Linked DNA regions of Drosophila melanogaster. The protein of the gene in region 2 interacts with the protein of the main gene of each other region in a pairwise test. Each region holds a gene or a part of one and is shown on either strand. Other genes may lie near its edges.

Evidence for each region.
Region 1: the proteins of Golgin84 (region 2) and p130CAS interact in a two-hybrid assay, tested with the Drosophila melanogaster proteins (one large-scale study listed by BioGRID).
Region 3: the proteins of Golgin84 (region 2) and CG14408 interact in a two-hybrid assay, tested with the Drosophila melanogaster proteins (one large-scale study listed by BioGRID).

Annotation. Positions count from the first base shown.
Region 1 is NT_037436.4:149,682-156,787, forward strand, and holds the start of p130CAS (p130CAS), read left to right. Parts: upstream 1-3,202; 5' UTR 3,203-3,389; coding exon 3,390-3,623; intron 3,624-7,106. Other genes in the region: Dic61B (dynein intermediate chain at 61B), read right to left, coding at 127-337, 403-615, 668-2,109, 2,167-2,388, 2,442-2,591, 2,660-2,716.
Region 2 is NT_033777.3:24,354,542-24,361,322, reverse strand, and holds Golgin84 (Golgin-84), read left to right. Parts: upstream 1-3,384; 5' UTR 3,385-3,446; coding exon 3,447-4,782; intron 4,783-4,837; coding exon 4,838-5,052; 3' UTR 5,053-5,253; downstream 5,254-6,781. Other genes in the region: CG5762 (uncharacterized protein), read left to right, coding at 1-185, 244-432; CG18528 (uncharacterized protein), read left to right, coding at 1,257-1,445, 1,764-2,069, 2,126-3,112; CG6454 (uncharacterized protein), read right to left, coding at 5,545-5,607, 5,670-5,942, 5,999-6,385, 6,443-6,530, 6,584-6,781. UniProt on the Drosophila melanogaster protein: May be involved in maintaining Golgi structure and in intra-Golgi transport.
Region 3 is NC_004354.4:14,825,463-14,835,414, forward strand, and holds CG14408 (uncharacterized protein), read right to left. Parts: upstream 6,572-9,952; 5' UTR 6,321-6,571; coding exon 6,279-6,320; intron 6,205-6,278; coding exon 6,142-6,204; intron 6,049-6,141; coding exon 5,630-6,048; intron 5,046-5,629; coding exon 4,971-5,045; intron 4,886-4,970; coding exon 3,674-4,885; coding exon of another isoform or gene 3,592-3,673; exon of another isoform or gene 3,199-3,591; intron 2,570-3,198; coding exon 2,326-2,569; 3' UTR 1,405-2,325; downstream 1-1,404. Other genes in the region: CG14411 (uncharacterized protein), read left to right, coding at 7,792-9,952.

The sequences.
Region 1 (7,106 bases), on a different chromosome or scaffold from region 2:
TGACACTCGATCGATCGCCGTTGTGTCTCTTAGATAGCTGATGCGTGAACATTTCATCAGTGCCATCCAGATTCGCTTTCAGGCCGACGAATTATTTTGTTTTATTGAGAATACCATTTTTCCTATCTAAAAAACTGCTTTTTTGTTTGGGTACCCAAAGAAACCAATGCTTTTAAGCTCCATAAGAAGCTCGTGGTCGTTGCCAATTGCCTTGAAAATGGCTTTCTCTAACTCGTCGTATTGGAAGTGTGGCGAAAAGGGCATGTCGTTCAGGGCGTTGAAGAGCGTGTTCCCGCGCTCGTTGCCAATAACCAATGTGCGACCACAGTGGGAAAACCTAAGAATTGGTAAAGGAAATTCCTATTCAATTGGCCATTTTTGCGGAAAGCAATAAAAGCTTACCTGGCCACAGTATTAAAAGAAGAGTCCATCTTGTGCTTGGACATGGGTCTTAGCAAATTTCGGCGAAAGTCCCAGACGTTAGCGGTTTCCCGGTTCACCGTCACAATAATCGTAGAGTGGGTGGGGCTCCACTTGGCCCAATGCACTGGGGTCATCTCGTCTAGCAGTTCGAGAAGAGGTCGCGTGATGCCATCGACCCAAATGCGTACGAACCTGCAGAATAGATACTATCTTTAGCTACCCTTGATAGAGGGCCACTTCCTACCAATCGTTGCCGCAGGTGAGGAAGAGTTTGGGAGACCAAGGCGAGAACTCCATTACGGTGACACCCCCGTCGTGACAACGCAGGACTTCCAAGTACTGATGCTGATAATTGATTGAGCACTTGTGGATGCAGCCCTCATCTGTCAGCACGTAGTAAATGTCCTTGTGCAGAGGATGTGTAGTGATGCTTAAGCCTTGCGGGTGGCGGTTAGACTCGCAGGGGATACGCGACGATGGGTGAACGAAAATGCCCTCAGGATGCCCCTCGACTCGCTCCAGAATCATTTGGGTAAAACCAAGCAGGAAGGGACTTTTGATAATCCGGAAGCGGGTGACCGAGCCATCCTGGGAGAGGCTCAGGAATGGATCGATGTCTGTTTCATGATCGTCGTCTGAAACTTGTTTGATCCAGCGGATGGCAACCACCGGCGAGGAGCCTGGCGAAGTGCTGCGCTGCGAGACCGCAACGGGTGTGTCCTGCAAACTGCTCACATCTCGCACTTCCACGCTGCCGTCGTACAGACCAATGGCGAGCAAGGATGGCAAGAATGGCGAGAAGTTTATTGCCGTTACTGGCACATCGTAGTAGTATGCGCGCTCCGGCTCGCCTGGATTTTTAATGCTCCACAGGAAAACGCTGCCGGAGGTCGGTACGTGCTGTGAGGAAAATGAGTACAGTCCGTAGGCTACAGCCAGGATGTCACCATTGCTGCGGCAGAAATCAATGTCGCTTACGGCCTTGCGCTCGTCTTTGCTGGGCTCCGGTACCAGCCGAAAGAGCAAGTTCATCGAGTAGACGTACTCGGCCTCCGCGTTCCAGCGTTCCACCTGGTCAAAGTTACGGAAGCGTCGTAACCCCGCCTCGTTTGTGTTGCTCGAGAGCGTGCGGCCCATGTACATGATGGCGTTGCGAAACTCGGGGCTCCGGAACAGGCGCTCTATCTGGCTGCTGACCTTGTCTTTTTCGGCAACGGCCTCGTCGTCCTCAAAGGTATCCGCATCCTCCGTCTGCGCTAGAGCCGAGGTCAGGTCCTTTACCGAACTCATAGTGGCTGTTGCGAACTCCTTGGTGATATTGTTCAGCGTGTCGTACATCTCAAAGTTGGAAACGTAAGAGCTGACGGTGGCCTTGGTTATGAGGATGGTGTTGACTGCCCGAGTGGTGAAGAGCAGAGTATCTGTCTGAGCGTCATTGTCTGAGCGCCGGCGAATTTTGCCTTTCCCTATTGTCAGATACTCGTAGTTTCGGTTGTCTCGCTCCGCATCGTCGCCCTCGGGCGATCCCTTGGCCACCGTCGTCTGCGTCTGGCTGTGAATTTCGAAGAAGTCAGACTTGCGTAAGGTGATCTTTAAAAAGGACTTGGTATACGGCTTTGGCTCGTACGCCTCTTCGAGAGCCTCAACAGTGCTGTACGGTTCCCAGTTAATAGTTTCATAAAGTATCTAGTGGAGAATGACGATTCCCGCTGGGATGATACAAAAAAGTTTATATAAACTTACCCCGTTCATCAGGTCGTCAATGGACTGCTTATTGCCGCCTATTCCGGCCCGAACACTAGACCGCGTGCGGGATCTGGTCGTGCTCTTCGCTACCATTGTAGTGAAGTTAGTCATTTGGTGCATGACATTTAGGTTGTACTTCATGAACTGCTCCACATAGGTGTCATCTTGGATCGACTTAGGTGTCATATCAACCTCCTCGCCATAGATCTTTTCCAAAACCTAAGGGGAGTTTGCAATTAGTGGTGGTGAGTTTGTAAGTCCTTTGGGTTCACCTTTATCTGAGATCGATACTGCAGGTCGGCAAGTGTTTCCACACTGTAATAGTGCGTAGTATCTTTCTTCTTAGCCTTAGACTCTTCGGCTTGTGTCTGATTAACCACCACGGACTTCTTTTTGAGTTCGTTGTCTAAGTTACTGGACCGCTTTTTGACGCGTGGGGAACGGTGTTCTATGTAAGAAGTGCAAATTAGATCTTCCAGTAATTACTTACTTTAAAGATACTCCCATTTTCTTGGCTAGTGACTGTATTTCTTACTGACGCGGACATGACTTGTATTTTGTTATGTACTCCTCTTGATTTCGTCCAAATTTTTAATGAGTATTTTGTTATTTTATTATTTTGAGGGCACTGGTTTCTGGTAATACATATGTTTTAACTGCTGATATAACTTTTTTTTACCAAACATTAGTTTCATAGTGTACTTATCTTTCTTTAAAGATTTAAAATGTAATCAAAAACTGAAATGCTTGGAAATCAATTTAAAAAATTAATATTGTGTAATATTAAATTTGAAGTTTAAAAACTCCGAATACCACGAATTTTTACCGTACGGTAACGAAAGGGCTTTGTGCTACTTAACAGGAGCACTCTCTTACTCTCCGTTTCCGTGAGCGTTTTTTACCGAGCTCCCCCTGCGCCTGCTCGTTAGATAATACCGAAATAAAGTTGTCAACCAAGCCACCCTCTGTGGGCGAAGGACGACCGGCTGCCTTTTGAGGTTGCATATGGTTGAGTTAGTTAGATTCGGAGTCGCCAGCCATGCAAACCTGGTTCACACTCGCGTCCGTAATCGTGCTTTTGTTTGGGATGTATTCCAATGTGTAGAGATTCGATTTCTCAATGTAGGTCTGCTTATTTTTTGGTACGCTCCTGATATGAAAAAAACTTGCGGCAGCATCAAAATCTAAAAGGCATCTAACCTAACAAGAGCTAACAATTAATGGAGTGTCAAAGTGAAAACCGAGTACCAGAAAACTCAATTAGTAATGTTGCAACGTACCATACTCTGCCCGAATCCCAAACCTCATCGGTTTTGGCCAAGCATCAGCAGCGACAGCTGAAAGAACCGCAACAGCCGCCGCAGTACGTTATAAATTCAGTGGCAATGCACGCCAAGACGACCACGGCGAACTCCATCACGGGCGGCACACTGCATCGGGCAAAAAGTGCGCAGGTACGTCCAGAATGTTATAAATTAAATGGATAGTATCCGAGGAAGTGGATCGAAGTAAAGCGATGTGATCGCGATGCTTATTGGAGGTAAACCTATTTGACAGGAATTGATATTGACTGCCAACTAGGTGCGCTTAATCGGTGGGGAAACTGGATTTATATATTTGTCCATGGATAATTCAAATCATTCATATTGTTTTTCGGTATCTCAAATCGTTCCGTTAAAAACTTTTGTGCTCTGTACAGGTGTAACAAACTCTTACTATTTTTTACATTTACTACATTTCGGCAAGTAAAATCTGTTACAGCCAAATTCATCGAACGACCCTCTTCCACACGCCATTGCCTGGTTCGACGCGAGTGCAAAAACGAATTTTACTCAGCGAAGCTACACAGATACATACAGATTATGGATACGCAGGGTGCGTAACGTAAACTAACGCTGTAATACTGTTTCTGCCGGCTAACCAAGCTGGGACGGCTAAGTGGCTAAATGGCTACAGGACCATCGGGCCTAAATGCAGCTTCATGGAGGCCGCATGCGTGCAGAGAGAATCGGGCGATGTGCCCATGTTATGTAAACATATTCGGCAGGAAGATAGGGCAGGGTGGACCTCGAGTCGTGACGAAGCAAAAGTCAGGGATCTGGCTAAGGCTGCTGGCTGACTGATTCCCGTGGAGAGTAAGGGTCGTCAGGTGGTGGTGGCTTCTGTGCGTCGCGTCATTCATCAGACGCTCCATGATGTGAAACAAATTCGCCTGGGGAGGCATTGGATGCTTAAGTGAGGTGCTAAAGTTAAGCTGCCAACTTCAATGATGTGGTACTTGACCAGCTACCGATTCAGAAATGTATCTTTTGATTTCGCTGTCAGTTCTACCCTTGTATATATGTATGTATGTATGCTTTCAATTTTATTTGCTCGCGAAAGTTGCTATACGATTTTTCAATGCCAATATGAGAACTGCTATCGACCTTGCCGGGGGTATGAACTTTCCGCAATTAAACCTCACCGGGGTGGTTGTTCTCTGTTCTTTTTCCCGCCACCGAACCACGCTTCGTTCTTTTCCTTAAGCAACATGTTTGGTTACTGAGAGCACTTTTTGCTGAATTTTTCCGAGTGCCGTGCTCCAAGAGCAAGTTGCTCGGAAACATCTGGAGGGTTTAATCAATCTTTGGTGTCCTGACGAGCCGCGAACAATGTTTTGTCAAGTACAAAGGAAGGGAAGATTCTTCTGATCTGATCTGTCATGATAATGGGATGCATTGAAAATGGCCCCAAAAAAAAACTGTTAAAGCAGAAGTTCGTAATTCTAAATCATTTTATGACGATATTGATATATATTAATATATATTTAAATTGCAAAAAGCCCCTAATCAACGTTTTGATGTCTTTTATCTGGCTACTGTGGCTGCCTGTACACAATTTAAAATTTTTGCTGGCACATTTTATTATTACAAATGGCACTTTGGAGAATTGTGTACCACGGATTTTGTAAGCGGCGCTCTAATGATTTATGAATTTATTCAATGACAATTGGCAAGTTGAGCCAAAGTGCTTTTAGCTGGTGAAGCGGACCGGTCATTGAGCCTCGGAACCACTTCATTCGTGGCTGGGAATTGAAATGCACAGAGGAAGAGTTTGAGTTCGCAGTAGTTCACAGTTAGTTCACTGGTGGCCGTCATAGGCGCCAACATATTTTGTTCTTGCATTTAAATTATGAGCTCTGCCATTATGCATCAATCGTTAATCCAGCGGCGGTTAAAAGCAGCACAAAAAGAAAAGACAGTATCTATAACCAACACAGAATAAACAACAATAAAGAAAGTGGAAAGCCGGGAAAAACGTGCGCTGAAAAGTGAAGAATTTAAGTGTACGTGTTGAAAATTCCTCAATTTGTTGTCTGAGAATGAGTATAATTATTTGTGTGTTTCCAGCGGTGGCTTTATTCACCGCGTTCTTTTCCCTGCTAAGACATATTCTTTGGTAACGTGACGGTAGCGAAACTATCTGTTATATGCACACAAAAATAACATTGTGCATCCTCAGTTTTAAGAACTACGTTTTCATGCGAAAATGGTTTTTGATTAAATAACTCCTTAAGTTTTATAGGACTTAAATTGGCAAGTCCAAGAAAAATCATGAAATCACACGCGGTTTCAAAAATCACTTAACCCTGTTGACGTAAATATTTTTCCAGTCCCAGCACTGGATATATCTTCTTTTGCAACATTCGTGCTGCACATGGCAAATATGTATATGATTATTGGTGTCTCGAAGAGATATATCCACTCATTCTAGTCGCCCGGTTTCCCACTCCTCTGAACTTAAAATAATTTATGCAGTTTGGGGACAGCTTTTCCTGGGCAGACTAAAGCGTTGCGGCATTCAATAAATTGCTCTTAAATTATGGAAATGCAGAGCAGCCGAGATTTATTGAGAAGTTTCTAGAGGTGGGGAAAATGTGTATTTTTGGATAGGCTGTATATACGTATTGAGTAAATTCCGATAAACTTAATGTGTATGTCTTAAACCGAAAGCATCGTCATTTTGAGATTATCATCGATCTATGAATACTATGAATTTTTCACATCCCAAATTCTGCCTTTATTGCTGACCCATTAATCCAAATATATCAGATGGCGTCGTTTATATCTCATTGCAGATCAATTGGGCTATTTGGTCGGAATCTTTTTGGTTTCGGGGTCGCCCACGTTTGGCCCCGTATTTCAATTTGACGTTTCTTCAGGTTTGGTAACTGCATTGTCTTAGATCACGCTTTGACCTTATAAACTGGAGGAGCAGGGGTCGCTGGAGAGAGATGATGGACAAAGAGAACACACCAAATATGTTAGATTCATAAATTTTCCAAAAACCTAAACACAATGTTTTGAATTAAGCAACGCTGGGAAGTAGACTGCGGAAATAATTCGTAAATTTATCAGACTAATTTGGTCTCGACATATTGAACTTAGCAGCTCGGGCGCTAAGACTTTTCGAGTGTTCTGGTGAAGTGGGGTAAACCGTTCTCAAATCATTTTCATTCAATTATGCTCAAAAACTTGATTAGCCTTCAAAGCTAAGGAATTAAATTTTAATCTTTTGTGCAACAATTCTATAACATAGGTCAAATGTATGATAAATTCTTTTAGAATGCATCAGTGAGATATCTGAGAACTTCCATATTTGATTCTCTTCTCATCTGATGACCTATGTGCACATGTGTATTTTCGTAAATATATAGTTAATAAATGCCCTAACAACATTTATTGATATATTCTTCGAAAAAATCGCAACACCAACAATCGCAACGCAACTATCGTTGTCAGGCAACGAATGGGGAGTTGAGTACAAGTATCCAGTGTTGAGGTAACCGAAATAAAATTTAATCTTATCTAATCTTATCGCTTTTAGACGTATTTTGCTGGCTTTCCCCTCCTTCCTACCTCCTTGCCCAGATATTTGCAAATAAAATGTCAACATGC
Region 2 (6,781 bases):
GCATCTCGGTCGGGGACGATCAGGAACGCTTCGATAACGAGCAGTACCATCCGCGCGAACTGGAGAAGCGCAAGTACGAGTGCACCTGGGTTAATTTCCCGGACAGTGTGGCGACCAAACGAAATCGTAGACGGGACTTTCTGGAGTCGATGGAAACTGAGGCTCCTCGACGCCGCCGAGCCCAGGTGCCTATTTTTTGGAATATTTCAAACAAAAATCAATTTGAAATAATCTTTTTTGCAGGAAGAAAGACCGAGTACGGCAAAGCCATGTGACGACGAGGCCCGTGCCTTTATCAACCAATGGGACACCAATGCGGCGATGATCCAACGCAACAAATTTGCTCGTGCCACCGATAGCTGTCCACCACCCATTGTATCTCTCCGGTTGTCAAACGCCTACAGCACCCGAAAACGTCAGTTCTTATTCTAAACCGTTTATATTTGACAGTTGTATTCGCATCAGAAATTCTAGCAATCGCTCATTCTTGTAGCCTGATCAAATTGATAGTGTCGAAGGCATCAGATTTTAAAGCGTCCAAATCCGAAAATGTAACTGTAAAAATGTAACACATCTGCACTAGATGTGATATTTGTTACTAATAAAATATTTAAGTGTATTTGTCTTCGTCAAAAGCGGAGAGGGAATTTGAGAAGTTCATCACAGCTTGGCTAAAATTGGTCTCAGAGACTTAATAAGAACTATTTCTTACAGCTTTTTACCAATGCTTATTATTTTTATCAACTTTTGGTGAAATAAAAAAAAAAATTTTTTTTTTTCTATTTTCACATTTTTTATAAGGGGTAACAACGTCTATTTTTTTCAAAAAACGTCAAAAAAATAAAATTACCAAATTTGAACTCCAACCAATTAAGGGCTTAATTACAAGTTCATCGAGATATGTCATTCGATATTTTCCAACGCTTTTGACAAAAAATCTGATAATTATTTGACAAAAAATTACAAAAACTACTTCTGTCTAATTGAATAAAAGTGAATTCTTTCTATCCAAATAACAAAGAAATAAATAAAAAACGTTCCCATGTTTCAAATCCCATATTTCGGTCAAAATGGTTTGTGTCGGGACTGGAGATTTACCCAAGCTTACCACCGCTCCATAATTGTTTACGCACAATTCTTTAGTATATATCTCCGAGTGGAATGATATATTTTTGTAACGGCCATTCCGCGGTCACACTTAATATCACGTTCAATTGTTTATTATTCGGCGGTTGGGATTTAATTGTTTTTCGGCGATGGCGCTTCTCAGAAACGCGTCCCAGAGCTTCTTGGGCAGTTTCCGGCGCTTTGCCAGCAGCGGATGCACCATCTACAGCCTCAGTTCCGGTCATGTCAAGTGCGGTGTGTCCGTGATCCGTGTCTCCGGGCCGCAAACAAAGAAGGCCCTCCGAGCAATTGTTGCAAACAAAGAATACGAGCCAAAGGCAAGTCAATCGATATAAACGTTTATTATTCCATATATGAGGGGTCGTGACCTGTGCAGTGTATAGTTTTGTTTTCTAGTATCCAAAATATATGTATGCAAATGAAAAGACCTGTTGCTTATTTATATACATTTTGGGAGATGTATCCTGTATAAAAATAAACAAATTTCTCCTAACTTACATATAATTGACTAAATAAATTGAATAATTTCGTGAACTGCTTAATTTGTTATAATTGGCAAGCTGCCAGGTTTTAAGACGAGAGACCTCTATGATAGTGAAACTTATAGTTCCCTTTATAAATACTTTTCCATATAGGCTCGTCAGGCGTATCTGAAATCCTTCTACCATCCCGCCAGCAAAGAGATGATTGACCGTGGGCTCTTACTTTGGTTTCCGGGACCGGCTTCTTTCACTGGCGAGGATTCCTGCGAGTTTCAGGTACACGGGTCCCTGGCAGTCATTGCGGCCATGTTGGATGCTCTGGGAAAAGTGGATGGATTGCGGCCGGCGGAGCCGGGAGAGTTCACAAAGAGAGCGTTCTTTGGTGGCAAACTGGATTTGACAGAGGTGGAGGGATTGGCCGATCTTATCCATGCTGAAACGGAGGCGCAAAGAAAGCAGGTAGACAGTGGACTTAGGGTCTCATAAATTTTGTTTCAAGTCTCTTCTTTCTCCAGGCACTGCTACAAAGCACTGGAGCACTGGCTCGACTCTACGACAACTGGCGCCGTCGACTTATTCGCTGTGCTGCCCATTTGGAGGCCTACATAGACTTCGCCGAAGAGGAGCAAATCGAAGGCGGCATCATCCTGCAACTCGGCAAAGAACTAAAGGCGGTAAAGCGTGAGATTCGCGAGCATTTGAGTGACCAGCGGCAGGGAGAGCTCCTCCGCGACGGAGTCCGCACTGTGATCATTGGAGCACCCAATGTTGGCAAGAGTAGTCTGCTCAATCTCCTCTGCCAGCGATCCGTGTCCATAGTGACGGATCAGGCGGGCACCACAAGGGATATTATAGAAACAATGCACAATTTCGGAGGATACCCGGTGGTATTTTCCGACACAGCCGGATTACGCCGATATACTACGGATAGTATAGAGCAGGAGGGAATGCAGAGAGCCAAGAATTGTCTAGTCCAATCTGATTTGATATTGCTCCTAGCAGAAGCCAAGAACATTGCACAGCTGACGCACGACGACGCAGTTGCTCCGTTTGTAGATAGCTATCTGGGCGAGTTGGATATACCTCTGGACATGTGCTCAGGGAAACGTCTGCAATTGGTGGCCAATAAAACCGACACTTTGACGGATGAGGAGCATCAGCAGCTGGACAAGCTGTCCAACGTGTTAGCCATATCATGCCATAAGCCCGATAAGATGCCCGTGTTTCTGGGATCACTGGAGAAGCAGCTGCAAGAACTGTGCGGAGAACCGCGGGCGGAGAATCCACGCATCACAAACACACGCTACCGTCAGCAACTGGAGCGCTGCATTGAGAACATTGATATTTTTCTACGAGATTACAGACCCGACGTTTACCCGGACATGGCCATAGCCGCCTCCAAGCTGCGCAACTCCGTGCGCTGCATCGAACGCATCACCGGACACATCAGCTGCGAAGATATACTCGACGTGGTCTTCAAGGACTTTTGCATTGGAAAGTGAAGAGATAGTTTATAGTTGTGAGTTGCGAAGATTACACTGCCCATGTTGAGTATTGAATAAAATATTCATTTGTACCCTAGAGTTTTGATAAGCATAATAAATTAACATTTCTGCACGGATAAGAAAGATTGGAATTACATTTATTTCTAAAACCAATCCTTACATTTTCATATAAATATTTTTTTGATCAGAAAAAAGGTTTTTCAAAATTACGTTACTTTTAGAGTGACCTTAACTTTGGAGTTGACCATTCCGCAGTCGATAGCGATATGGGCACACAGTGTGATATTGTTTACGTGTTTTACTCGAAGAGATTTGTTTTTCTTAGAAAAATATGTCATCCTGGATCACAGGACTGGCGGACAAGGCCGAAAACATTTTGAACAAGCTGGACCAAAATGCGGCAACGGCCCTGCAGACAGAGAACGCCACAGGTTCAGCGGATCCCATGCGTAGGAGCATGACGAGCAGCACCCAATCACTGTCCACATCCCTGAAGTCCACTCTGTCGCCAGTGCGGCGCTCGGGGGCCAATAGCTCATCAAGTGTAAAAAGCGATGGCGGGGTCTCCGTGGTCACTAAGGACATGCGCCAAAAGATGACCACGTCGGCCAGTTTCTCCAACAGTCCCGACATATCCGCCAACTCAATGGACACAAATGAATTGGCTGCCTTCAAGATCGCCCTGAATGAAATCACGGCCGAAAGAGATGAACTGCGTCTGCGCTTGGAAGATCTTAATAACGAAACCGAAAAGTTTGATCTGCATCAACACACCCAGGTGCTGGAAGCTCTGGTTAAAAGTCTGTCCGAAGAGCGGGACAAGGCGGTTCATGACTACAATGAGGCCCAGGCAGCTAACATGGCGTATGTGCACTCCATCTCCGAACTGGAAACCAATCTGGCCAAGTTGCAGCAGGAATACATAAGCGCCGCTCACAAATTGCAAATGCAAACAAAGGAAACGGAGCAGCAGCGCCAGGAGCTTCAGGAATACCGTATCAAGGCTCAGCGAGCTCTGCAAGCAAAGGATTCCCTCATCGCAGAGTTGAAGGCGAAGCCCACGGAGGAGGGCGCAGATCCAAACCTGGTGTCCAAGGACAGTGAAACGCGTTTTCTGCAAATTGAACACGAGTCACTTAAGCAAGAACTAGAGCATGCCAACGAGGAACTGCAAAAGGCGCGCTTGCAGCTGGACGATTACGTTTCCCAGGAAAGACAACGACAGGTGGAACTAAGCTCTGCCCGCCAACGCGAGGAAACACTAGCAAAGGAGTTGCGACAGGCAAGGGAACACAGTGTGACCTCCGAATCCGATCAGCGAGTGCTCACGCAGGAACTGGCCTCACTGCGGCAGCAACTTAGTAACCAAATGGCTGCTGCCGCCACTCGACTCCAGGAGCGGGAGCAGCAGCTTCAGCAGATGCGTCAGCGATTGAGCGAGGAAGCCAACACGGGAGCCAAGAGCGATTACGAGACTCGGCTAAAGGCTTTAACCCAATCACTGGTCGAACGTCAAAGTCTTCTGGAAAGAGTTACGAGTGAGAGAAATGCCCTGCGACTACAGCACGAAAAGGCACAGACGCAGCTACAGCAAAACATGCACTTGGTGGAAATGGAGAGCCAAAGGGGCAGCTCCCGCCATACTATGCTCAACAGCACAGATGATGGTAAGTCTAACATTCTGCGAGTACCAGAAATTACATAAATATGAGTTCTACCTAGTCAAAGCACAATTCCCGCTTCTCATGCATCCAAGTCCATTCGATAATCGTGTGGCACGACGCTTCAAGCGAGCCCTTCGCCAGGCGGACTCCATGGGTATTCGGGTGGGAACGTTTCTGCGTCGCTATCCCATGATGCGGGTCTCTGTGATCGTCTACGTGGCCCTACTACATCTGTGGGTCATGTTTGTGCTGCTCTCCACTACACCAAACTAATCGAATCAAATACATTTAGTTGAGCAATTGTTGTATTTCCATAATATTGTATGTATTGTATTTTACGCGCCAAAATTGGATATCTAGTGGTACGAGTATATGTGTCATGTTTGTGGTTGCAACAATTGTATATATCGATATTATACTTGTGTCTCGCACTCGTTCTAAATTCAATATTCAATAAACATCAACTATGTACAGAAATTGCAATTGATTTAACGCTAAAAACATCCAGCAAACAAGTAACAAGACCGAAAAAATTAGCACTACTAAGTTAGGATTAGAACGATTCCTCACAGTTCAAATATTGCATAAAGAATCCATCTACAGATGCTGTAAAATTGTTAAGTAAACGTGAATTAGTTTAACTTCAGTTTAACTCCAGTTGCTGGGCAGAGCTGATAGTTCTAGCTAAGCGGAAGAAAATAGAGAGTATACGCTTTTGGGACGATTCGCGTAAAACATGCGCTATATGCCCCGCAAGTTTTTATATCAGTCATCGGCATGGTAGCTCACATAGACAGCATCGCCTCCGATGCTAATCAGGCACTGGCCCTAAGAATACAAGATTTCAGTATAAAAACTTTAAGGTAAGTAGATCATTGTGTTTGCCTTACCTGATTCTTGTGCTGATTATCGAACAACATAAGTTCGGTGATGTAAAAAGAGACCATGGCATTTCCGCCCAGCGAAGCGATGTGTGCTCTCACCACAGCCAACAGTTCGGTAATGAAGCCATGGACAAATCCGCTGATGCCACCATTTTCCCGGATCGACGTGCTCTCCCGAATAAAGAAAAAGTTTAGGTTGCCCAAATATTTATCTATACGACCACCAGGTATGAAACTTAGTGGCGTCACATCCACTCCATAACGATCTCGCAGCGGAAACTGTCAAGGAAATATAATATTAATATAAAGACATCATTAATATTTAATGTTCTTACATAACGGCTACGTTGAACAGATCCAACGTTCAATGGCTTAACTCCGGTTGAAGGCAATCCCGAAACGAGATTGTTAAGACGTGATGGTGAAGTTTTTCGCATTTTGAATGAGCTCATTCCGAATGGCGGAATAGCGGTGCTGGTTGGCGTGGGTGTGTCCACCATCTGATCCTCGTCCAGCGGAAATATGTAATCCTCCTCTTGCAGCATTCGTTTTCCGTTTAACTCTGGCTGAGATTGAGTGGCGTGCACCGTGCCATCATGATATCCGTTCTGCTGTTGAGGTGCCTGCTGCTGCTGAGCCGGGCGTCCACGTCCGCGGTACTTCATTCTGTTGGCATCGCTTAGGCCCATGGCCATGCCAGTGACTAGCAATTGAATTTGATCCTGCAGAGAACGAAGTAATTTAATCATTCTTGATCAAAGTCCTAGCATTTTCCTTACCGTCTCTGGCAGATCTAGTCGGAAGCGAAGATCGCAGATAGCACAGGGTATCATAGTGCGTAGCTTGAAGTATATGGTCTGCAACAGTCTGGGAAGGCAAATGTTTTTATGTGCTGATCCCAGTATGAAGTTTAGACCTACCTCTGAAAGTGTTTAGGGAAGCCGTTTACACTTTGGCCCACCTCGAGTCGGGCGCGCCACACTTGTGTGAACATCTGCAGATTCTTAACCGTATCCATTTCCAGCATGCCCGGCACCTGCTGCGTATTTACCACATGGAAGCCCTCCGGCGGATATGGCTCCATTAACAGCGATATGATTTCCAAGTCTTCGATATCG
Region 3 (9,952 bases), on a different chromosome or scaffold from region 2:
AACGGGGAGAGAGGAGAGCCGAAAAGGCCAAAGCGAAACGAGTTAAGACGCAAGACAATGCAGATAAAAGCGGCAACAACGACAACAACAAACACGGCCAAGAACGGCAACAACAACCACAACAGCAGAAGGCGTCGCGGTGCGCTCTTCTTCTTGCTCTCCTTCTTTATCATCTGCTGGCAATGCATTCGTGTTTTTTGTTGTTTTTTGGGTTTTCGGTTTTTCTTGTTGGTTTTCTTTTATTATTATTTTTTTTTTTTTTTTGGAAAACTTGAATCTTTACCAGCTGCGTTTGGAGTTTTCCTGCCACTTCTTAAATGCGCGCGCGCATTTCCCACGACAAAAAGAAAACAAACGACCAGCGAGACACACAAAGTGGCACTTTATAGAACGAAAAAAAAAGTAGAATGTGCAAATACACCAGCACCGAAAAAAAAAAAGAAGAACAACAGTTAAGATCGCCGCGTTATTTAACCGCTTTTCCTTCCACACAACTCACGACGCGATTTCTTCGGATTGTTTGGCTTGGTTTGTTTGGTTTGTTCGGTTTCTCTTCGGCTCCGCTCGCTTCGGATTTGGTCTGTTCTCAGCAAAGCGTTGCAGCCAAACTAAAGCGTCCGTCGGCGGTTCGTAGCGAACCACTGCGAACCGAGTGGCACGAAGCTGCACGAAGTTGCACGAAGCGTTCGTCGGCGTGCAGCGAAAGCACTATCGTAGAGATGGGGCGCCACTGCTTGCGATAGCCCAATCGATATATCGTATATCAGCTGGTGTGATTTTAAATCCTATTATCAGCGTTATTTACAATATATACCAATTTCAAATTGATAGATGGAGATCGAACGTTGTGGTTTTTAAAGTTCCTGATCTTAATGCGTACATGTTCACTTATATGCAACTTGTATGGCGAATAAAAGTTGAAATGCAAAAGCTTTCAAAAGTCTATCGCCATGTCTTACATATTATCAGCAATCAGCTGGTTTTCTAGGTACTGTGTTATTATAGATTACTTATTGATTTTGAATATAGTTTTTAATATTAAGTTAAAATATACACCAATTAATCAAAAATTTTAAATGGGATTTGAGTAAAAATTAATGGGCATAATCATAGAATAAGTTTTTTATTTGGTAGGAAATACTAAACTAGAAAATACCAAAAGGCTGAAGAATGGTGGTCAAATGAAATTTCTAAAATAGAAAACCGTTAAAAGGCAATGCTATATTATTTAATAACATAACACAAACTAGTCAATTTTAAAGTTGATTTTTTACGTATTATAACAAAGAATGAAACTAAAGCTTTATAGTTACCAATTAAAAATGGCAGCCCCATTTTATTCACTAACTGCCCAGTTTTCGAAATGAAACATTCAGTTTTGTATAATACACTTCATATAATTTTATGCAGGTATTTATATATGCAATTATTTAACACTCAGTGGCGCAAACAGAAGAAAACCGAAGAATTCGCGGACAATTTGCAAGTCGCTTGTATTTCAAATGTCTCCATAAAGTAATATTGCTGATTCGGCTTTTGGTGCGAATTGTCAACGCACTCCTCGTTTTCTTTCAGTGCACACCACATTTACCATTATTTGTACACTCTTATGTATTTTTGTGGGTTTCTTGTAAATCATTTTGCCGAATATTTAGCTCGTACACACTAAAACTATTAAACTGATTTCGTTTTTGTTGACTAGCATTTAGTTATTTGCTTTTTGTAAACAGCATAAAATGTAACTTTCTTAATTATGTATATGCCACTACATAAACTAAATTATTGCACATCATTTATTTAGGATTAGAACATAGTTTGCCACACGTGCCTGAGTGCGTTGGTGTGGATTTAAAAAGATTCCTGCTGGCTCATCCATCATCTCGCATCCATTTCGATCCACCTGGGATTGATGTCTTTTTGTATTTGAATGATATGTACGCTACGCTTTTGACTAATTGGATTTTTTGGATCGATCGTAAGTATGCCCTAATACTCATAGAGTAAAATTTTGCCATAATTTTCATATTTGTATGCGTGCAGTGATGGGGGAAGTTGTGTCAGCGGCCAAACAAGAGTTTTCTAAATTGAAGAAAGGTACTTTCGAAAATTCCGTTACAAAAATGCTCAAAAATAGTGCATAGTTTTGAAACTTTAAATACTTCTTGTGGCACTTTCGATCATTATCTATGAACTATATTGCAATTATTCATTTAAAAGTGACTTTTCCCATCACCGCATTCATGTGTGTGTGTGTGTGTGTGTGTGATGGTGAGGCGGTTTTGGTGTTGATTTTTTTTTCTAAGTGTAGGGTATTTCGCTGTCGGCTCAAAACAGCAAGGCTCCAACCACGTTTAGTGCCTGGTGGTGTTGCTTTTGTTGTTGCTTCTGCTGCTGATTCTGTTGTTGTTGTTGCTGTTGCTGTTGATGTTGGTGTGTGTGGTACATGCTTGTGGTTGTTGTTGGCGATTTGAGTTCCTCCACTATAATGGCACCATTCTCATCCACCAAGTGATTTAATAGTAAATTCTCAACCTGCTCATCGGACAGTAACTCTTTTGGCTCTGAAGATCTGCAAAGTTAGTTAGTTTTGTATGTAATAGCTTTGCATAGTTAAAACTGAACGAAAAACACAGAACTGAGATTCGATAGATAGATAATTGGGTACACATATGATATACAGTGGGTGATAGGACAGGTAAGCAATTACAACACTTAAACAAAAAAAAGTCGATGTTATCCGACTTACAGATAACCGGTACTCCAAGTTCTACAAGTTCATTTAAAAACAATGAAGAAAATAATACAAATTGGCAAATAATACACTTTGTGTATACCTTTATATACTTATGATCCATTATAGTATAATATACTTCACAGACTTGGAAAACTAATTTCAAAAGACTCTTATTAAAAAGTTTTCAATTGAAATAATAAGATTTAAGTTCATGGGCAGATCCCCTAAGATAACTTTCAAATTCAACTAAACTCAAAAGTGGTAATTTTGAAAACTAGAGTACAGGCTATTCAACGTAGGTACATTCAATTAGACAGGGATAGCGATATGAAGATGACTCGGCTTAGAGGGAGAAGGCAATAGCGATTCAAAGCGATTAATGAGTGGGAAAAAGGTAACGTTTAGAAACAAAAACACAACAGATATTTCTCGATTTTGGTTTTTGCGTTTTGAGCAGTACATACAGAATTTGAGGTTAAAGCGAGTGTGCGTTCGTGCTTTTGTTGTTGTTGTTGTTGTTCTTGTTGTTGCTGTTGTTGTTGTAGTTGTTGCAGTTAGTTTTTTTTTGAAAGATATATTTTTGTGAGATTGAAAGTAGCAAAAGCAGAGACCAAATCAAAGCAGCCAATTCGTTCATATTAGTAATTAGTAAATTGAGTACTATTTTATAAATTTTGCAGTTGGTTGGTTGGTGGTTCATTTTTGTAGTTGGTTGGTTGGTTGGATTAGATGGGTGCAAAAATTGCGCTGATCATCGCTGTTTCGGTTCGGGTATACATATATTTTTTCGAAATTCAAATTCAAATTCAAATTCAAATTCGGTTTCGGAATCGAAATCCGATTTCTGAGTTCTGAGTTCAAATGAGCTTGGCAAGGCGGCTGTGCAGCGAGTTGAGCAGACTACGACCGCCACCCTTTGCCCCATTACCGTCTACTGACCTGCTGAAGAGGAAAAAATCACCGGCACCGCCGCCAGATCCTGAACCGGAACCTGCTGCACCGGTTGCACTGCCGGTTCCGCCGGATGCTCCGCCACCGCTCAGCGCCAGTGCGTCCGTTGTGCCGCCGAGCAGTGCATCACCTTCGGCTGCACAATCGCCGGACATCTCCGATTCGCTGTTGCGTCGCTCCAGGCTGCGTCCCACCTTCTGGAAGCCGTAGCTAAACACATCCTTCACCTTGTCGCCGGCATCGATTAGCAGATCGAGGCTCTGGCGACGTCCGCTGCCCTTGAAGCTATTCGAGCGGGACAACCACTGGCTGAGGCTCTGCTTGCGGCTCATCTGCTGGCCACCGCCGCTGGATGCACTGCTATCGTCCTGGAATATCGTCGTGCAGGTCACCTTGCGCTTGGGCTCATCGGACGACGAGGTCGAGTGCTGGGACTGGGCATCTGCATCGAGATGATTCCTGGCCAGGCCGAGACCCAAGCCGCCGGACATGCCGCCCGTGGAATCCAGGCCCTGCTGCTCGAGCAGCGACTGATTGGAGTAGCTGGAACTGGTGCTATCCGAATGCGATAGCCGGATCTCCGTCCACTGCTCAATGTCGTTGTCCGCCGGAGCACCGCCAGCCGAAGTTGAGACGGAAGCGGATCCCGATGCCAGAGATCCGCTGCCCGACTTCACCTCGTATGGAGCGTGCAGGCCCAGCGGTCCCAATCCGGCTTCCCCATCCGCCGCAGCACCTGTGCTGGCCGACTTGTGCATGCCACCGGCCAGTTTCTGCGGGAAGGTGAGCACCGCCTCGAAATCGGTTAGCAGGTGGGGGCACTCGTGGTGACCCAGACGCTCGGGCATGCGCAGGTACTCCTCCTCCTCCTCCTCCGCCTCCGCCTCCACGTGCTTCTGCTCCTCGGCGGCTGCCTTCGCCTCGAGATCCTGGCGATTGGCAGCAGTTCCGCAGGAGCTCCTCTCCAGACCCGCCGTCAACGTGTCCACGGCATCCACCTGACGCAGCATGGCCTCGTAGTTGAGCAGATTATTGCGCTGCTGTCGCTGACGGTGAATGTCCTCCGAAATCTGTTCCAGATTCTTAAGCGCCTCGTTGTACGTTAACTTCGCCGCACTGACCTTCGCCTCCAGCTCGTTGACGCGCGTCTTCTGGGCCTTCAGCAGTCCATTGTAGTTCGCCCGGGTCTCGTAGTATGGCCTATGGTATCGGGGAAGGATTCCAGCGGATTAGGTTAGTCGCAGTGCCTGCCTACATGTGGCCAAATCAAATCGGCGATACTCACGAACAGAGGGTACAATACAAAGCGTGCATAATGCTAAAATATCTCAACAAAAGTAAATTGCGCTTGAGCTGCAATCTAAAAGGAAGATAAAAGTTCGGAAGACAGGGCAGTCCACCGGAAAAAGAAAAAACAAAACAAAAAGGCATACAACAAATTAGAATTTAATAAACAAATATAAAACTTAAAAGTAAACCAAAAAACAAGTTTAATAAGAAAAGCGTAAGTTCGGCAAAAGACCGAAATTCGAAAATTTCTCAGGATTTCAGGTATATTTGCTTATAAGCATCGTGAGTTTTAAAAACTATGTCAACTTGCAGTTTGGTAAAAAAAAATATTAGCCTTAAGATCAAAACCTAATATTTCATCTAACTCTTACTGTTATTTTTCACAAAGTAATATATGATTTAAAAGATTGCAAATTCTCTGGAGTTTTCTTAATGCAAAATAAAAGAGATCATCTCAGAAATTTGAAATAGTTTTCTGCAACTTTCTGTTGAATATTTTGAAAGTAATGTTTCTAAATTCTTTATAACAAATTGATTCAAAATCGAATGGAGTTTCTGGGTCACCAGCATTCGACTTTCGGTGGAAAGAGGTTTCTGTGACCTGGTTCTTGGTTCTTAAGCAGTATTCCTTGAAGGGAACCCCATGAACTTTACCTGGATGCCCGAAGCGCTTGCTTAAGCTGACCCTGGAGCTTGCCGACCCGGTTATTGGCCACCTCGAGCTTCAGCTGGCACATCTTGAGGGCATTGCGGGTGTCGGTGACCTCCAGCTGGGACTGATTGACCTTGCTGGCGGCGTGGCTAAGCATCTCCTGGCAGGCGGTGTCCAGCGTCGACTTCTCGCCCAGACCCTGTTCGGCCAGGTAGACCATCTCCTTGGCGGCGGCATGAATGGACTTGGCCTTCTCGTGGTTGGCGGCGGCCAATTGCGTTTCCTTGGCCAACTGGGCGGCGTAGATGCGAGATTCGTAGTACGGCTTGGCGGCATCAATCGAGTTGCCCAGCTTGTGGGCGGCTGCCTTGATTCTCACCACACTTTCCGCCAGCAAACGCTTGAATTCGCACTTGGCCTCCTTTTTTTTTTGGTTTGTTTTGGGACAGAGATCGCAAGCAATAATGGTAAGTAACTGGGGTAACTGGGGAAAAATCAATACTCGCCCACTCACATCGAGCTCCACTTCGTATCGGTTGATGTTGTCCGTGGCGGAGTTCAGCTTCTCCAGCTCCACCTAAGCGGGCTCCCGAGGATTAGGTTGTTTGGCATATGTAGGTGTATGTATGTATGTGTGTAGGTGGTACCTACCTGGACCCTCGGATCCACGGGCGTGTTGCTCTCCGTTGACATGGTGCCTGGCTGATTTGTGGGGGAGGGGGATTGGGGTGGTCGATTCTCGGGTCTTGCCTGGATTTCACCGTGGAGTTGCCGTAATGGATGCAGTGCAGCAGGGCAGCGGGGCAGCGGGCTCGTTCAGTGGGTCAATTGCATCTGGGAATGCGATTCATTTTCCACGGCACATCGCGAATAGCAAAAGCAAAGCAAATCGAATCAATCGTGGAATGGAATCAAGCGAGCTTTTGCAGACACAATTATGACAACACGCTCCGGAGCTTTTGCGTTTGGCAAGCGCAAAAAGCTCTGGTCAGCTGCTTTTTACCGTTGCAAAGCGCGTAGAAACTATCGTTATCTTCTATTCCTAGGCAAATATCGATAAGTAAATAAAAAAAATTTCTCAGTTATTACGAATATATTATTACGAGATATCAAATAAAAACAAACAAATTTCTTTTATTCACTTGCGATTGGAACTCAGAATATGGGCGGTTCCCACTGTAATGCCATTATCTCAAAAACTGTGAATAATTATTCTATAAAATTTTCTGAAATGTCCTTAAAGAAATTACCTTTAAGGTAGTCTATTCAATTGCAATTCTTTTTAATTGCATATTTTATATACCTTCTTGAGTCCTATAAACTTAAGTCGTGGTAGATAGTAAGATTAATCATTTTTATTTTATTCGAATTCACCGCCAAACGAAAAACTAAATAAATAAAATAATGTAAAATTCTAAAGCAAATTAAAATTAAAAAGAACTGCCACACTTTTCACTTTCCATCGTTCCACGAGCAACGCTTAGTCATCGCCGTTTGCTTGACGCGCTCACGAAATACTGGAATCGACGGCGCCTGGTCACACAGCACCGATTGCACCTAGTGTCATGTGCGTGCATGTGTGTGCGTGTGTGTGTCAGTGTGTCGTATGAATTGTGGCGACCAAGTGCGCGAATAAAAATAAGTAAATAAATGCACATTGCGAGCGACGGTGCGTGTGTGCAGGCGCCAGATGGTGCACTTGGATGACCCCAACAACGAGTGACCCCGCTCGAAACGCATTCGAAGTTCGAAATCCGAAATACCAAAATCCAAAATCCAGAGACAACAGCCGCAGCAGCAGCAGCGGCAGCGGCAACAACAAAACGGCGATCGCTCGCACACACACGCACACACAGGTAGTAATCCGAACGGTAAGTTGCGTTCCAACTGATAAAAACTTATCACACCCCCCCCCCCCCCTCGAAAATAACGTGAATGGAAAAGATTCGATAATTCGAGTTTTGCTGCTCCACTTGTCACCTCATCTGTTTCCATTTGTCATATATTCATTTGCTCCAAATTCCGCTTTCTTTCGTTGCTTGCATGGCACACAGACAGCAGCGGAATAACGGTAAAGCTAGCGCCGACACCCACCCCCCCCCTCCCCGCCAGACAGGAAGTGGTGAATAATTGAATATTCCAACAACGTACCACCGACTAAATAATGGCCACGGGCGGCGGTGGCAGCGGCCACGGGGGAGCGGGATCCGCCGGAAATGCTGACCACCACAAGCGCAACACCTTCACCAGCTATGTGGCACCGCTACCCGGAGATTTGCGCGCCACAGCGGACACGAACGAATGGTGCCTGCCCAGCGATTTGAGGGACGTCCATCTGGCCAAGCCGCGACTGCTGCACGGCGAGCAGATAGTGGCATCGGCACCAGCCTACATGTACTCACCGATCGATCCGATGGACAGCAGCGGAGGCAGTGGCTCTACGCTCAGCGCCATATCATCTGCGTCCGGTACGCCAGCGGATCGTCATCACAAAGAGGCCACCTTCGGACTGTTGAGTGTCACCAATTTTAAGCTGGCCTTTGTGCCGCTGCATGAAAAGCGTAATCAAGCGATCACAGCGCCACTGATCGATCTATATCAGGAGAATACCTATTTGGGCCGCAATGAGATTACGCTAAACAACATCGATCATATCTATACCATTACCGAGCTGGGACGGGCGGCCAGTGCGCTGCAGGCGGCGCGAGGCATGGCCAGCCATGCGGGCATGAGCAGGCGCAAAAAACTGGAGCCCTTCAAGCAGCAGAACATCAGCGGTCGCATCGCCGCCCTGCATATCGTGTGCAAGAACTTTCGCCTGCTGAAATTCGCCTTCCAGCAGCAGGATTCGAAGATGTTTGGGGCCAGTGATCAGGGCAAACTGATTGCCTCGGCCCTGGTGCGTTTCGCTTATCCAATGCGGCATGATCTGAGCTTCGCCTATGCTCATCGAGAGCCATACTATTCGACACTGGGCGCATCCGGCACTAGTATGTATGCGACGAAAAACGACTGGGCCAGAGAGCTGATACGCTGCGGCGCCACCGAGTGGCAGGTGGTTAGCTGTGCCAGTGTCCAGCTGCTGCAGAATCCCCTCCAGGCGGGCAAGTACACTGTGCCGCCGCATTTTGTCATACCGAAGAGCTGCAGCGTGGATCGATTCCTGGATCTGTCGCGCGCCTTCTGCGATTCACGAGCTGCCTTCTGGGTGTATAGCTATGGGAGCAGCGCGGCACTGGTCAGATTAGCTGAACTGCAGCCGGCTGCGCAGCAGGACACCAAATCGGAGAATGTGATGCTGGAGCTGGTGCGCAAATGTGATGCGGGGCGACAGCTGAAGCTCCTACAGCTGACGGATCGCCTGCCGAGCATTCAGGATGTGCTGCGCGCCTATCAGAAGCTGAGGCGCCTATGCACGCCGGAAACGCCGGAGAAGTTTATGCTGCAGGATGACAAGTACCTGGGACTACTCGAAAAGACCAACTGGCTGTTCTATGTGTCGTTGTGCCTACGCTATGCTAGTGAAGCGTCTGCCACGCTGCGCAGCGGCGTTACCTGTGTCCTCCAGGAGTCGAATGGCCGTGATCTCTGCTGTGTGATTAGCAGTCTGGCGCAGCTATTGCTCGATCCGCATTTCCGTACTATCGATGGCTTCCAATCGCTGGTGCAGAAGGAGTGGGTGGCCCTGGAGCATCCGTTTCAGCGACGCCTGGGTCATGTCTATCCTGCCCAGCCGGCCGGCGGTAATGCCGAACTATTCGACAGCGAACAGAGTCCAGTGTTTCTGCTCTTCCTCGATTGCGTGTGGCAGCTGTTGCAGCAGTTCCCCGACGAGTTCGAGTTCACGCAGACATACCTGACCACGCTGTGGGACTCGTGCTTCATGCCCATCTTCGATACCTTCCAGTTCGATACGCAGGCCCAGCGACTGAAGGCGGTGACCGACTCGCAGCTCGTCCTGCGTCCCGTTTGGGATTGGGGCGAGCAGTTCTCGGACAAGGACAAAATGTTCTTTAGCAATCCGCTGTACCAGCGCCAAAGGGGCGATCTTGGCGCCCAGGCGGCTGCCGTGGCGCATCGCAGATCCCTGGCGGTGGGTAGTAAGGGAGCGCATGGCGCCGCTAGTGGTGTCACACCCTCGCGCAACACCATCAATCCGCAGCTCTTTGCGACCGCTTCGTCAGTGCCGCAGGATCGTTACCTGCAGCCGGCACATCGCATCTTCGATCTGCAGGTGTGGGATCAGTGCTACTACCGCTGGCTGCCCATTTTGGATATACGCGGCGGCGGCCAGCCGCAGGTGGATCTCTATCATCGCCTGCTGC